3 linked regions of the Arabidopsis thaliana genome follow. The protein of the gene in region 3 interacts with the protein of the main gene of each other region in a pairwise test. Each region holds a gene or a part of one and is shown on either strand. Other genes may lie near its edges.

The links. The genes of interacting proteins can lie anywhere in the genome.
Region 1: the proteins of GRF3 (region 3) and NIA2 interact in a two-hybrid assay, tested with the Arabidopsis thaliana proteins (one study listed by BioGRID).
Region 2: the proteins of GRF3 (region 3) and FD interact in a two-hybrid assay, tested with the Arabidopsis thaliana proteins (one study listed by BioGRID).

The regions. Positions count from the first base shown.
Region 1 is NC_003070.9:14,156,851-14,162,467, reverse strand, and holds NIA2 (nitrate reductase 2), read right to left. Parts: upstream 4,017-5,617; 5' UTR 3,852-4,016; coding exon 2,807-3,851; intron 2,621-2,806; coding exon 2,480-2,620; intron 2,384-2,479; coding exon 816-2,383; 3' UTR 530-815; downstream 1-529. UniProt on the Arabidopsis thaliana protein: Nitrate reductase is a key enzyme involved in the first step of nitrate assimilation in plants, fungi and bacteria.
Region 2 is NC_003075.7:17,002,763-17,006,837, forward strand, and holds FD (Basic-leucine zipper (bZIP) transcription factor family protein), read left to right. Parts: upstream 1-1,759; 5' UTR 1,760-1,983; coding exon 1,984-2,691; coding exon of another isoform or gene 2,692-2,718; exon of another isoform or gene 2,719-2,826; coding exon 2,827-2,904; intron 2,905-3,118; coding exon 3,119-3,190; 3' UTR 3,191-3,546; downstream 3,547-4,075. UniProt on the Arabidopsis thaliana protein: Transcription factor required for the transition to flowering promoted by FT.
Region 3 is NC_003076.8:15,407,977-15,412,134, forward strand, and holds GRF3 (general regulatory factor 3), read left to right. Parts: upstream 1-1,707; 5' UTR 1,708-1,835; exon of another isoform or gene 1,836-2,173; intron 2,174-2,273; 5' UTR 2,274-2,300; coding exon 2,301-2,774; intron 2,775-2,852; coding exon 2,853-2,975; intron 2,976-3,062; coding exon 3,063-3,179; coding exon of another isoform or gene 3,180-3,183; intron 3,184-3,255; coding exon 3,256-3,309; 3' UTR 3,310-3,625; downstream 3,626-4,158. Other genes in the region: AT5G38490 (B3 domain protein (DUF313)), read right to left, coding at 3,892-4,158. UniProt on the Arabidopsis thaliana protein: Is associated with a DNA binding complex that binds to the G box, a well-characterized cis-acting DNA regulatory element found in plant genes. Involved in the regulation of nutrient metabolism. Reciprocal negative transcription regulation of miR396.

The DNA.
Region 1 (5,617 bases), on a different chromosome or scaffold from region 3:
GAAGTTATGAATCGTTGATATATGATTTTATTTAGATATATATATATATATATATCGTAACATTTTCTATCGGTTTAATAGCACACTATTTTTATATAGATATGATGTTCCTTTTGGATAACTTAGAACATAACTTGTGATGCTGTATTAAAATTCTAATCCTGTAATGGAGAAGAGTTTGGATGCTAGAAACATACTTTATAAACATGTACAATTTTAATAAGAACAAATTGAATATTAACTGAAAACTCTAAAGATTCTCAAACGATTGATATATTGTTAAACTAATCACCCAAAAAGGAAGAGTCTTCTAAATTACAAGTTAATAAAACAAATGAAAAAAGTAAATTCACTCCCCCTAATCTTAAATCATATATGTGGTGAAGATTAATATAGGAACTAATGGACGAGTTTGGTTTCAACTTGCACAACAGGAAACTACTTCGCTTTGGCTTTATTCTCTTTGAAAATGATTATTGGTGTCTAATAGCTGTAGAATTTTTATTTTATTTTTTAACGACAAAGACATATGAAAAAATGAACATATTCAAATTGATATTCATAATGTGAAGTAAACGCAGAAAATTCAATGTACGATAACCTAACCACAAAAATTTCTGAAATTACTTTTTGTATATTATTGTGAAAAAAAATATCGATCGTGAATACAACGAACACATTATATTTCCAAATCCAAGACTTTAAAGAACCAACATTATATACAAACAAATCCCTCAATACTTATTTAGAATCTATCATAACACTAGGCTTTTTGACGACTTAACGTTTTGACTTTGAAATATCTTGGCTTTAGACTAGAATATCAAGAAATCCTCCTTGATGTTATATTGCATCTTCTCCAAATTCGGCTGAACCGCAAACTGAATCATCGGTGGTGGTCCGCAAGCCATGGCAAGGGCTGAGCCATCTAATCCATCAGGGATATGTTCTCGCATAATCGCCTCGGAAATAAACCCGGTACTGTATGCCCAACCTTCCTTAGCTGATTCCACTACGTACCAAACCTTTAACCGGTCCGGGTATTGCTCTGCCCAACCATCCAGTTCCTCCCTTAGGAGAATATCTTCCTCGGTCCGGTTAGCATAAATGACGTACATTTCAGTCTCATCCTCTGGATCCTTGAGAATGGCTTGGATAATTTGGTAAACCGGAGTTATTCCGGTTCCACCTGCCAACATTGCCAATTTATCAGCAAACTTTGGTTTACCGTGAACCGTGAAACTACCCTTGCCGAGATACTCAACGTGACCCAATGGTCCTTTAATCTCCAAAGTTGACCCTATAGGCAAAGAGTCTAGGTACTGAGACATGAGCCCGCCGTTAGGGAATCTTGGGTGGACACCGCCAAAGTAAATCTTGACCACGAGCTCGAAGTAGCCAACCACATCAACGGTGCTGCTTGGTGTGTAAGCTCTGAGGCAGAGCTTGTCATTGATGGTGGCGCAAAGGAAAATGTGCTTACCAACCGGTAAGCCTAGAACCATATCCTCAACCGGTAAAGCAAACCGGAATTTACGAACATCATGAGAAATGGAAGTCTTTTCGACGAGTTGAACCGGGACTTTAGCCCGGGGATTAACCAAAGCGAGGTTCCTAACCGGAGTCGCCTCTCCAATGGGAGCCAACAGCGAGAACACGGCGGATGAACCGTGAACCGAGTTGTTAGGCGAGGAAGAGTCAGAGGAATAACCAGTGGTGATGAGCTCACCGATACGGTAATCCTCAAGCATCTTCTTGGCTTTATCCGAGTGAATGGCTTCAAACTCCTCCGTACAATCCGTACCAGCATTGATCAAGATTGAATCCGAACCACCCGGGTGATCCATAAGGAATCGTGTACAATCATAGATATGTCCATGGACAATGATCCAGCAAGAGTCAGCCGAATTATGCTTCTTGACCTCGGACATCGAGTACATCTTCGCAGTTGTGTTCATAAACGGCGTCGAGACAGACTTCTTTAGACTAGGAGGCGCGTCAGCCGATTTTTCGAGGTGACGTTCCTTCGCCATCCATCCACCAGATTCATTACCAGGAAGCGTTGGATGCTCGAACACAATCCCAATCTCTCCCTTGTGTGGCTTGCACACGTTAGTCTTCACTCTAAACCAGCAGTTATTCATCATCCCCATGAGATTCCATATCATTTTCTCGGGCTGCGTGTTGAGAGTCTCGTCCCATGCACGAACAGCAATCTCTTTGGCACTAAGCAAGTCCAAAACCTCAACCTCAAGTGACCAAAAACACCAACACCAGAACTTCCCATACTTGTTTGGCTTCTCTTGATGGTCAAGTGCACATACGTTCCATGTCTCTCCACCATCTACCGTGACCTCCACACGGGTCACTTTTTTTCCACCTCCTGTTTTTTTTTGTATAAAGATTATTGTTACTATTAAATTAAATCATCCTATGAAATAACGTATTTATTAAATTAAAATGTTAAAAGGACAAGTACCGGAATATGCGTAACCCTTTAAAGTATAAGGTCTTTGGGTTGTGAAAGCGTTGATGGGAAGAATCTCCTCGTGACATGGCGTCGTAATCACGGAGTTTATGTTTAGCTCGTTGATTATGTACTCTGGCTTATACCACCAACCTAAAACAAAACCATTGAATTTGAATTTATGTAAGTCACAGAAGCTGACATCATCCACCAACATTAGTTTTTCATTTTTTAATATGATTTCTGTTTTTGTTTTTCTCCTATAGGTTCGGAGACTTTTTAAACATATCAATTAGTTCATCTTAATGAGATTTATTGAAGCAAAAAGATTTTATGTACCTTCTTCGTCGGCGAGTTCGGCGTCTACCAAAGAAGGTAAAACTCTGTTGTCCTTGAAATGGTAGAAATTGTCGGATTCTTTAGTTGTGACAATGATTCGTTTCAACCATTTAACCATCCGGCCACCAATGAAACCGGGGATGATGATCCGAACCGGAAAACCGTGGTCTGGTGTTAGATACTCTCCGTTTTGCATATAAGCCAAAATGATGTCTCTTGATGGATCCATGGCATATTCCTTCTTGATGCTCGTTCCGTATTTGGAACCAGCAGTTCCGGCACCGCCCGGAAGATCCTCCGACCCTTCGAAGCAGACGTTGAGAGCGCCGCCTTTTCGGCTAAAGATCCCGCAGCGACGCAGTACGTCGCAGAGAGGGACACCACGCCACACGGAGGTGGAAACTCCGGCGGATCCCCAGTTGAATCCCTTTGACTTCTTCACCATGTTCTGTTCCTTACGGCGGTTCCCCGCGCAGACTAGCGTCGCGGCGAACTCGCGGTAAGCAAACTCGGAGACGAGCTGGTCCATGGTGAATTTCATGGGCCGTTTGACGAATCCGGTCACCTCGACCGTCCATTCGGCCCATTGGGCTTTAGGGACGTGGCCGTGGTTACGAACGTAGTGCAACGGGACAGGGGTGATAAACCCGTGGTGCATTAAACGGTTAAGAGGCGCCTCGGAGTTGAAGGGATGTTTCCCTGTGAGACGTACCATGGAAGGGTTACGCTCGATCCAGCTATCAGCCGTGTATTCGTCCCTCGGGTCCAAAACGGACGGTTCAAGCTCGGCGTTGGATTTTCTTATCATCTCCTTGTAGTACACGGCGTTGCTGTTGTGTGTCTCGTTCTCGTCTTCGCTCGACACGTCTTCGTCATCGTCATGAACCTTGGCTGGTTTCAAGAACACGGTTTGGTTGGTGGTTTGGTTCTGGTGCGCCTTAGGGGAATCGGACCGGCCTGGAACGGGAGGTTTGTAAGAACGAACCACGCCGTTCAAACCTGGCTCGAGACGAGCGTATTGGCGATTATCTACAGAGGCCGCCATGTTGGAAAGTGTATAATCGTAAATAATGTAGAAAGCAGAGCCTTTTTCTCTCTCTATCTCTCTCTTGTGAGTGAGATGAGATCTGAGGACGAAAATGCATCGTTGGTGGAGATGAAGTTATATAGGAGAGAGCCTAGTGGTATGCTTTTAGGAAGTATCGTGCCGAATCACACGTATGGGACCATTTGTGACTTTTTAATTTTTTTCTTACACACTTACTATTAATTTTTTCTTATGACTTGACTTAATTAAATAAACCATCCATTTGTTTGACAAAAATAAACGATCATAGTTATTCAATAAGCTTAAAATGATCATTTTTGTCCCTATTTGTTATAAAACAAATGTGAATTGTTGGAGTAGTTTTGTAAATACTTTTAACGTCTCGGAAACATGTATAGATTTTTTTTTGTCAACTAAGAAATGATGACAATTGAATAATATATTATTATCTATCATTGGTTATTTCCTGTAATACAATATAAAAATGTGATCAAAACATTTTCCTTTTTATTTTAGTCGAATTTGTTTTACTAAAAAATATGTTTTCTTATTCGTGACACAAAGCCGTATTTATTTTTAATGGAAAAATAACGATAAAAGATGACAAAATAATTAAGAGCAATAAAATTAGTAATACAAAAATCGTGGTGATAATATTTTCATACTATTAATTTTAATAGTTTTTGTGATCGGTAACTATTAAAACCGTATATATATATATATATATATATATATATATATATATATATATATATATTTTGTAAACCGTATATTTTTTACCAGTAAATTAAAGAATTATCAATGTGTTAACATAGGAAGAACGTTCCTTTTATTATTGAGATTTGATAATCCTTTTACCCCTGGTTCTAGTTTAGAAGTTTATCAATGTTCTTATATCCTTCAGTTAAACATAGGAACAACGTTCCTTTTATTCTTGAGATTTGATAAATCAATTAAACATATTATCAGAAAAAATCTAATAATCATACAATATTTATTTTCTTATTAAACGTTATTTTCAGTAATATTTTCTTATTAAACTGTTTTTTAGTAATATTTTTTTTTGATAAAATTAACAGATGTGATTTTCAGCAATATTGATGAGATATTAATTATTGAGTAATCTAATTTTTTGTATACATTATTATAACCTAAAATAGTTCCTTGAATCATCTAAAAGTTTAAAATACCTATGTATGAATGTTGGAAAATGAAAAAAAAAAAAAAACTGAATGATGGAAAATGATCACGTTCATCTTTTTCCTTAAAATAACTACAAAATTATTTCTCTTTTTGATCAAGATGCAACATTACAGCCACCTATATATTAGTATTACTGTTATTATTGTTTTTCTTCGGAAAGAATGGCGGTGACTAATCAAAACCGACGGAGCCACGGGTTCAGCAGATTCAGTGGGTAAATCTTTCTTTATTTAAGACTTTTTTTTGTTGAAAATTTCATTGAGTAAATATTGAATATTGATTTTCTTGTGAACTTCTAATTTTGGGTAACCAATATACATCTTTATTTTTTTTATATATATATATATATATATACTTCTTCTGTTATAATATATAAGATATTTCACTAAAAAGACAAAGTTTAAGATATTAATTAATATTTTTACATTAAAAAACATATTTTGATATTTAATTAAAGAGAGTTTGCTAATGAATTTTTTACTGCAGAATAAAAATTTATCTTTTGAGATGTGAGATGAAGATTAAATCTGTGAAAGAAAAAAAAGTAAAAAAGACAGTTT
Region 2 (4,075 bases), on a different chromosome or scaffold from region 3:
TACAGACTATACCCCAACTTTATTTTGAGTTTATTTTGCAAAAATGATTTGAGACTGGGAAAATTTGTTTTATTTTCGTCAATGAATATGCGTAGTGACGTCGATACTAACAAAAGTACTACTCTTTACATTCGAATTTTTGGTGGTTGCGAAACGACAACAAAGATCTATGAAATTTGTGTTTCACATTAAAAACTCAAAATGTATTTTGAAACCCAATGTTTGGAAACATGTAAACAAATTAAAGTCTTTGTACTTTTCACCAACAAATGGAAAATATATATCTTCTAACAAATATGAGTATTTGAGGAGCTTGCATTTTCGATAAACAGCTCCTAATGTAGTACTCTTTGCATGTTCAAAAGATGGGACGTTTCCTTGAGGGCTGATTTCAACATTCAGAGAAAAAAAATTATATACATGTACGGAAATGAATAGTTAATCTTGTTGAATAGAATAAGAGAAGAGGAAAGAAAAACAAATATCGTATGTTATTATAGTTTATATATAATCAACTTGCAATAAAGGAAAAATTTGAAAAGCGTGACTAGATATGCACTTGGAGACTGACTTACATAGTAGATACGATAATCGAATATCTAGATATCTGGATGGTACTCATATTATTTGTTTATTACGTATGATCAAAGATTTATTAATATGTATCATCTTCTACTTGGCTTAATTATTAACTAGTTTAGTATTCGTCTCTAATCTTCAAAACAATCAACATAAATATCTAAACTATATTGGTCATATAAAATCTAATACTTTACTATCCACTTGTAATGTTTGTTTTGTTCAGAGTTGGAGACCCACATAAATTGATTTCCCTATCCGTATTGTAAAACAGACTATTGACACTTTGATCAAATCTCGTTGGATGACATGAACACCAATGATTTGAAGTGGGGAACAATTCAATAGTTAACAATATTTTTGTTATTTAAATGCATTTCAACTATACGGTCGATATTATTTGAAATGTTTGCAACTACATATTTAAGAAAACGTTAAGTGCAAATGACCCGTTCTTAAACACTCCGAATCTCATATAAAATAAAGTTTTTTTGTACTAATCAAACATATAATTTTCAGACTTTTAGTTTTGATAGAAACAAATTACATATACGAACACCCAAGTACTACTTTTTATATTCGATAATATTATTCTATCTTCGTTTAAAATATATTAACCACATCAAGAAAAGAGGAATGAAATATTCTAACGGAATTAATGTTTGCTGCCAAAAACAAAAAAAAAACAGAAGAAATTTTTACATTTGAGTTTATTGGTATAGTAGTTAGGATTTTGTGTTTTATTATATATTTAAACGAATTTATTTAATTATTTCTAATACAGAAAGATGTATATATTCTTATCTACTTTCATTTTGTTTTTAATGTTTTATTTCGTCAATACCCTTAGGGGAAAAAAGTGTATTTTGGCAAATTTTCCTTAAATCTAAGAGCAAGAACAAAAATTAAAGTCACACATGAAAGTTGAAAGTGATCCAAAGGGATTTGATATTAGAAAATAGAAAGTGAGATAAAACCAAAAATAATTTTATATATTTGCCTGGCTTTTTACAAGCATCTCACCCCCACTCACTCTTTACATTTAAGGATGATGAAAAATACTTCACTTTTGAAATAATCAAACACCATTTTTAATCTTTATAATAACTCTGACGTTGAAGACATCAACAAACACCTTTAATTACATATAATAGTTTATGGAATTTCTCTTCTTCTTCTTGAAATATATTATTTAATTGGAAATAGTTCAATCCCTCTGTCTCTTCTTCTGGAGTCTTGGACCCAACCCCATCATTCCAGAAATGACCGGCTAAAGTCAAGAACCTCTCTCTGAGCTCTCACCACTTTCTCTCTCTACTCCCTCTCTGCGTGTAGGATACTACTAGACAATTGACAACCAAAGACTAAAGCTGTGTTGTTGGTTCACTTCTGTTCTCTTTTCCAATGTTGTCATCAGCTAAGCATCAGAGAAACCATAGACTCTCTGCTACAAACAAGAACCAGACTCTCACCAAAGTTTCTTCCATTTCATCCTCATCACCATCGTCTTCTTCTTCATCATCATCAACCTCATCATCATCTCCTTTACCTTCTCAAGACTCTCAAGCCCAGAAGAGATCTCTTGTCACCATGGAAGAAGTTTGGAATGACATCAACCTTGCTTCCATCCACCACCTAAACCGACACAGCCCTCATCCACAACACAACCACGAGCCAAGGTTCAGGGGCCAAAACCACCACAACCAAAACCCTAACTCAATCTTCCAAGATTTTCTCAAAGGATCTTTGAACCAGGAACCAGCACCCACAAGCCAGACCACGGGTTCTGCGCCTAATGGCGATTCCACCACGGTCACTGTTCTTTACAGCTCTCCTTTTCCACCTCCTGCAACTGTTCTGAGCTTGAATTCCGGCGCTGGCTTCGAGTTTCTCGATAACCAAGATCCTCTTGTTACCTCAAACTCTAATCTTCATACCCACCATCACCTCTCAAACGCTCATGCCTTCAACACCTCTTTCGAGGCTCTGGTTCCATCCAGTTCTTTTGGTAAGAAAAGAGGCCAAGATTCCAATGAAGGTTCAGGGAATAGAAGACATAAGCGTATGATCAAGAACAGAGAATCTGCAGCTCGTTCCCGCGCTAGGAAACAGGAATGTGCCTCTCCTCTTCCCTCCTAATCTTCTTCTACTCATGTGTATCAAAAAGGGAAGAAAAGAAATGTGGTTTTGCCATCAAATTGCTTTTGATCTAAAAAAAGGTCTCTTGGTTTTGATTCTCATTTGCAGGCTTATACAAACGAGTTAGAACTTGAAGTTGCTCACTTGCAGGCAGAAAATGCAAGACTCAAGAGACAACAAGATCAGGTAAACAAGCAGAGCCAAGTTCTTAATGTTTTACCCTTTTGTAGCACTCATGTCATTAGATCAATTCCTTGTAGTTTAACCAACTTATAAAAAGAGACAGACAGACAGCCTCTGGAGTATATTTGTTTTACACACTTTTTTGTCCAATGACATTTTGGGTGGTTAGATTCTGATACTTCAGTTGTGTGTTTATTATGTGTGTGTGTGTGTGCAGTTAAAAATGGCTGCAGCAATTCAGCAACCCAAAAAGAACACACTTCAACGGTCTTCCACAGCTCCATTTTGAGAAATCTACAAGTCCTTGTTTCTCTTTTGGGGATTGAGATTGTCTCATGAAGAAGTGAAAAAATGGCAAAAGTTTGTACCCTTTTTTATTAGCTATAAGTATAACTAAGCCTAAAATTGTAGAACTAAGATATTGTAGGGGAAAAAAGAAGATGTAAAACAAAAGACCCGGAAAGAGAAAAGGATCTTTCAATTTCCTAAGGCACAGGAACACCTGTCCTGGGTCCTCTCTTAATGTTCTGTCGTTTTCCTATGCAAACCCTTTTTTCACTTCTGTACTAACTTCTACTTGTATTCTTGTTGTAGTAATGTTCTACTTCCTCTTCTAATACTAGTAAGAAAAAAAACCTTATGTTTTACTGTTTAACCAATTTGGTTCTTAAAAGAAGCAAAGGATCAAATGACCAATAGACAAAACAGTGCTCCACTTAAATGATGACAATACCAGAGAAAAGTGAGAAGGGGACCTATCACTGAACATTTAATTTTCTCCCTATCACATTATCACATAAATATCCAATCCTTTGGCTGTCTACCATACAAGCCAACAACTTGCAATATGATTTTGAAACCTCCAAGCCAATGGGAATTAAGTTCACCACTTTTCGGGTTGGTCAAGAGAGAACATGATAAGTTTCTTATTCAGCATGGTCACTCCCCACGTTTTATTTATATTCATAGTACATAGTATTGTAGCTTTTGCTCTAACTGGTCACCATCAAAAACACTAGGTGTGTTTGTATTCATTTGGTTTATCAAGAGAATAGTTTTTATCTTCTTTTGGCCCAATTTCATTTACCTGACAGTGATAAGTCTTGTTGATCCACTTTTGGTTGTTGATATATTGCTGTGTATTCTTTTAAGCAACCAAAAGTGGACATCAAGA
Region 3 (4,158 bases):
ACACATCAACACAAACATAAAGACATATAAGTTGCTCATGAAGAACTTATAATGGTGGAACCAGTGAGCCTTTGAGATCTGTCATAATCGTCTCTGAAATTGTCTCAAATCGAGAGAGAAATGAGAAATCTTAAAATTTTACCCTAAATAATTAAACCCTAGCTTTTAATTATTACTGCACAAATTATGTCTAAATAATTTTGCCCATTTACTAGCGAGCTTATATGGTTTGTAATCCATTTTAAACACTTTAATTTTGGGCTTCACCAAAACCCAACCATTATTATTTGGACGTGGACATCCCATGGTCAGAAAACTCATTCGATAACCCTACATTTGATGATCAAAGTGGCACGGAAGCTCGTTCGATCTACAAGTTTTGTGGTGAGGAGACTTCTCAGTTTTTCTTCTAGTGTGGTTGTACTTCAGGTAAATTCTTTTCAATACTTAGTGGAATTTTTCGCTAACTGTTTTGTGTAAATAAGGACGAGGCCTCCATAGCGTTCAGTGCTTTAACAATGCCGTATCCACTCTGCTAATCTTGGATTTCAAGAGGTATGACAGTTTGTGTTGTGATAGGAGCCTTCATTAAATTAAATAATTTCAACAATTTATTTATTTTTAGAACCAAAAGATTTTTCAAAAATTTTGATTATCAAAAAAAAATCCAACAGATTTTCTGTTAAAATGAAAATATATATTAGATTGTTTTTAAAAAAAATCATCTGCCGGAATTTGAATCTGGACATGCTTATTTTCAAAAAAACATTTTAGCTAATGTGCTAGTGCATATGTTTTTGCTAAGGTATGAATTTAAATTGGATATATAGATCAATTTATTTATTTTAAAACCAAAAAAAATTTAAAAAGAAACTTAGCGGGATATAAAATAAATATATATTAAATTTAAAAAAAAAAGATTTTCCGCTACGGGAATTTGAACCTGAAAATGCTGATTTTTAAAGAAAATTTAGCTAATGTGCTACATGAGATGTTTTTTTTGCTAAAGTATGAGTTTAAATTGGATATATACATCATTCAATTTATTTTTCTAATCTAGAATTTGCTTTCCTAGGACAAATATAGGTACTGAATTATTAAAGAACATATTTTTTGGTAAGATATAAGTGAGTTTTTATATAATTTTGATGATTTTAGGTAAGTTGATGTGATTTACTGTAAAGTCTTTTCAAATTCTATCTAAAACTATGAGATTTAGATTTCTGTATTTTTAACTAAAGAAGTCTTTTCAAATCCTTTCAAATCCTTCAAAATTAATAAGAATCAAATCCACTAACTATTTTCAGTAACAGTAAAAAGGTTGATTTTTAAATTTTTAATTTAATAACACTCAATTTCATTTAAAAATTTAAAATCCATAATTAAATAACATAAAATTTATAAATTTTACATAAATTATTAGATTGAATACACCGCTCTAAATATACACAATGTAAAAAGTCTGTTTAAGATCAATTATAGATTTAACTTAAATCTAAAGGCCCATAATACCGTCCTGTACATCATATAGTTATCTCAAGTTGTAATACTGTAATACCCGTTGGGCCCAGTGGCCCATTTATCAGATTTCAAATAACAGATCTCAACACTAGCATGGCTACACACGTGTCAGATTCAATGCATCAGTCATATCTTCAGCATCCAACACTTGTCAACCTTCCATTGGATCTCTTAACTCTACGCCTCGAAAACAGTTTTTATTTATTTATCATTCCATTTCTCATTGTATCTTCATCAGTCTCTTCTTATTCCATTTTTTCAAACCACTTGCAAAATTCGAATCAGATCTTCTCTTCAATCGAAAAAAAAGAAAGGTAAATCTCTCTCTCTCTAATCATCGTTCGTTTCGTAGTTTCTTCTTCTACGTGTAGATCTGATCTTTGATTGTATGTTTCTGGAGATCTCGATCTCATCGATTCTCTGTTCTTATCACTGATTCAGTGTGTTTGATATCTAAATCCGATTTGTGTGTAGGATGTTAAAATTTAGGTTTCGGTTTTGTTTCTGCTTTTGAACGATTTTGCTCTAGATTCGTTATCCGTGAAGAACATAGACGAGTATGTAGATCTTACTTCGGATTCGCGTTGAAGAATTTTCTCTAGATTCGTCACCTATGAAGAAGATTCATTGTGTTCTTAATCTAGATGATTAGGTTATTGTTTCGACTCATTTGTTTATGCCTATTTTCTCTATGTTCTTAATCGGTGAAGAAATGTATCAATGTGTGTATGTTTTGGGTTCTGATTTTGTAGGATTTGCTCTAGATTGTTGAATCGAAGATGTCGACAAGGGAAGAGAATGTTTACATGGCGAAATTAGCCGAACAAGCTGAACGTTACGAAGAAATGGTTGAATTCATGGAGAAAGTTGCGAAAACTGTTGATGTTGAGGAACTTTCAGTTGAAGAGAGGAATCTTCTCTCTGTTGCTTACAAGAACGTGATTGGAGCGAGAAGAGCTTCGTGGAGAATCATTTCTTCGATTGAGCAGAAAGAAGAGAGCAAAGGGAACGAAGATCATGTTGCTATTATCAAGGATTACAGAGGAAAGATTGAATCCGAGCTTAGCAAAATCTGTGATGGGATTTTGAATGTTCTTGAAGCTCATCTTATTCCTTCTGCTTCACCAGCTGAATCTAAAGTGTTTTATCTTAAGATGAAGGGTGATTATCATAGGTATCTTGCTGAGTTTAAGGCTGGTGCTGAAAGGAAAGAAGCTGCTGAAAGCACTTTGGTTGCTTACAAGTCTGCTTCCGTAAGTCATTCTTTACAACGTTTTTGAATGTTGTTTTCTTTTGTGGGTATGATTGATTTTGTTGTTGTGATAATGCAGGACATTGCCACTGCTGAGTTAGCTCCTACTCACCCGATAAGGCTTGGTCTTGCACTCAACTTCTCTGTGTTTTACTATGAAATCCTCAACTCGCCTGATCGTGCTTGCAGCCTCGCAAAGCAGGTTTGTGTAGTACACCTGATTTTCACTTTTTGCTTCGTGTGTTATTATTATCTCAGTGAATGAAACAGCTATTTTGGGTTTGTGCAGGCGTTTGATGATGCAATCGCTGAGTTAGATACATTGGGTGAGGAATCATACAAGGACAGTACACTGATTATGCAGCTTCTTAGAGACAATCTCACTCTCTGGACTTCAGATATGACTGTAAGTATTAACAACACAATATACGTTGATCACTAAGTTATGTTGTTGACATGATGGTTTCTTTTTTGGTGAATAGGACGAAGCAGGAGATGAGATTAAGGAGGCATCAAAGCCCGATGGTGCCGAGTAAACCCGAAGAAGAGGAAGAGTCATTTTATAATGGTAGAAAACTTTCATGTGATAATCTGAGTGAGGGATAGCTCAGGATTCTTATAAGAGACACAGTTTTATTGTTGTTTGTTTGTTTTGAAACTACTTGCGATTTATCATTCCTCCTTTAGCTTCCTCAATATTTCCTATTCTCCTTTCTAATGAAATCAAAACTTGGTTATTTCTGATATGGTAGTTGTCTTTATTTTCTATTTTTTTGGTTATTGATTTGATCAACTAAAAAAGTGTGATAACTTTCTCAAATTGATTAATTAATGTACGAAAACACTTGCTGCAAATGGATCACTTCCATGACATTATACTTTGATATAATATATTACAAGAAATAAAAGGTAACTAAAGTAGAGAAAACAAGAAACCATATTTATAACAAAATATTTCATTTCAAACAATGGTAAAAGATCTCAGATAACATAGGAGACAGACAAGTTACTACTAATAAAGGAGAGAACCACACCAAAATCCTAATCTTGTTAATTAACACTTCCAATAAGTTACTGAAACTCAAAATCACTGAATAAGCTAGTGAACAAGTGAAGAGCTACTCTGTGTCAAGTGCAAAGCAGAGGACTCCACGGCACCTGAAAGTCCAAAGGCTGATCTTGTCGCCGACTTTTAAGCTGCTACTTTTGACGACATCATTCCAACCCCAATTCAAAGTGTAATTCAATGTTCCATGTCCAGAGTCCTTCTCCATCGCCCATATCTTGAAACGCAAACCCCACTTTTGAAATCTTTGGTTCACAAGAACCGTTCCCACACCAATATTCTCGTCGTCTTCTTCATCATTGTCTTCGTCTTTCTGCAT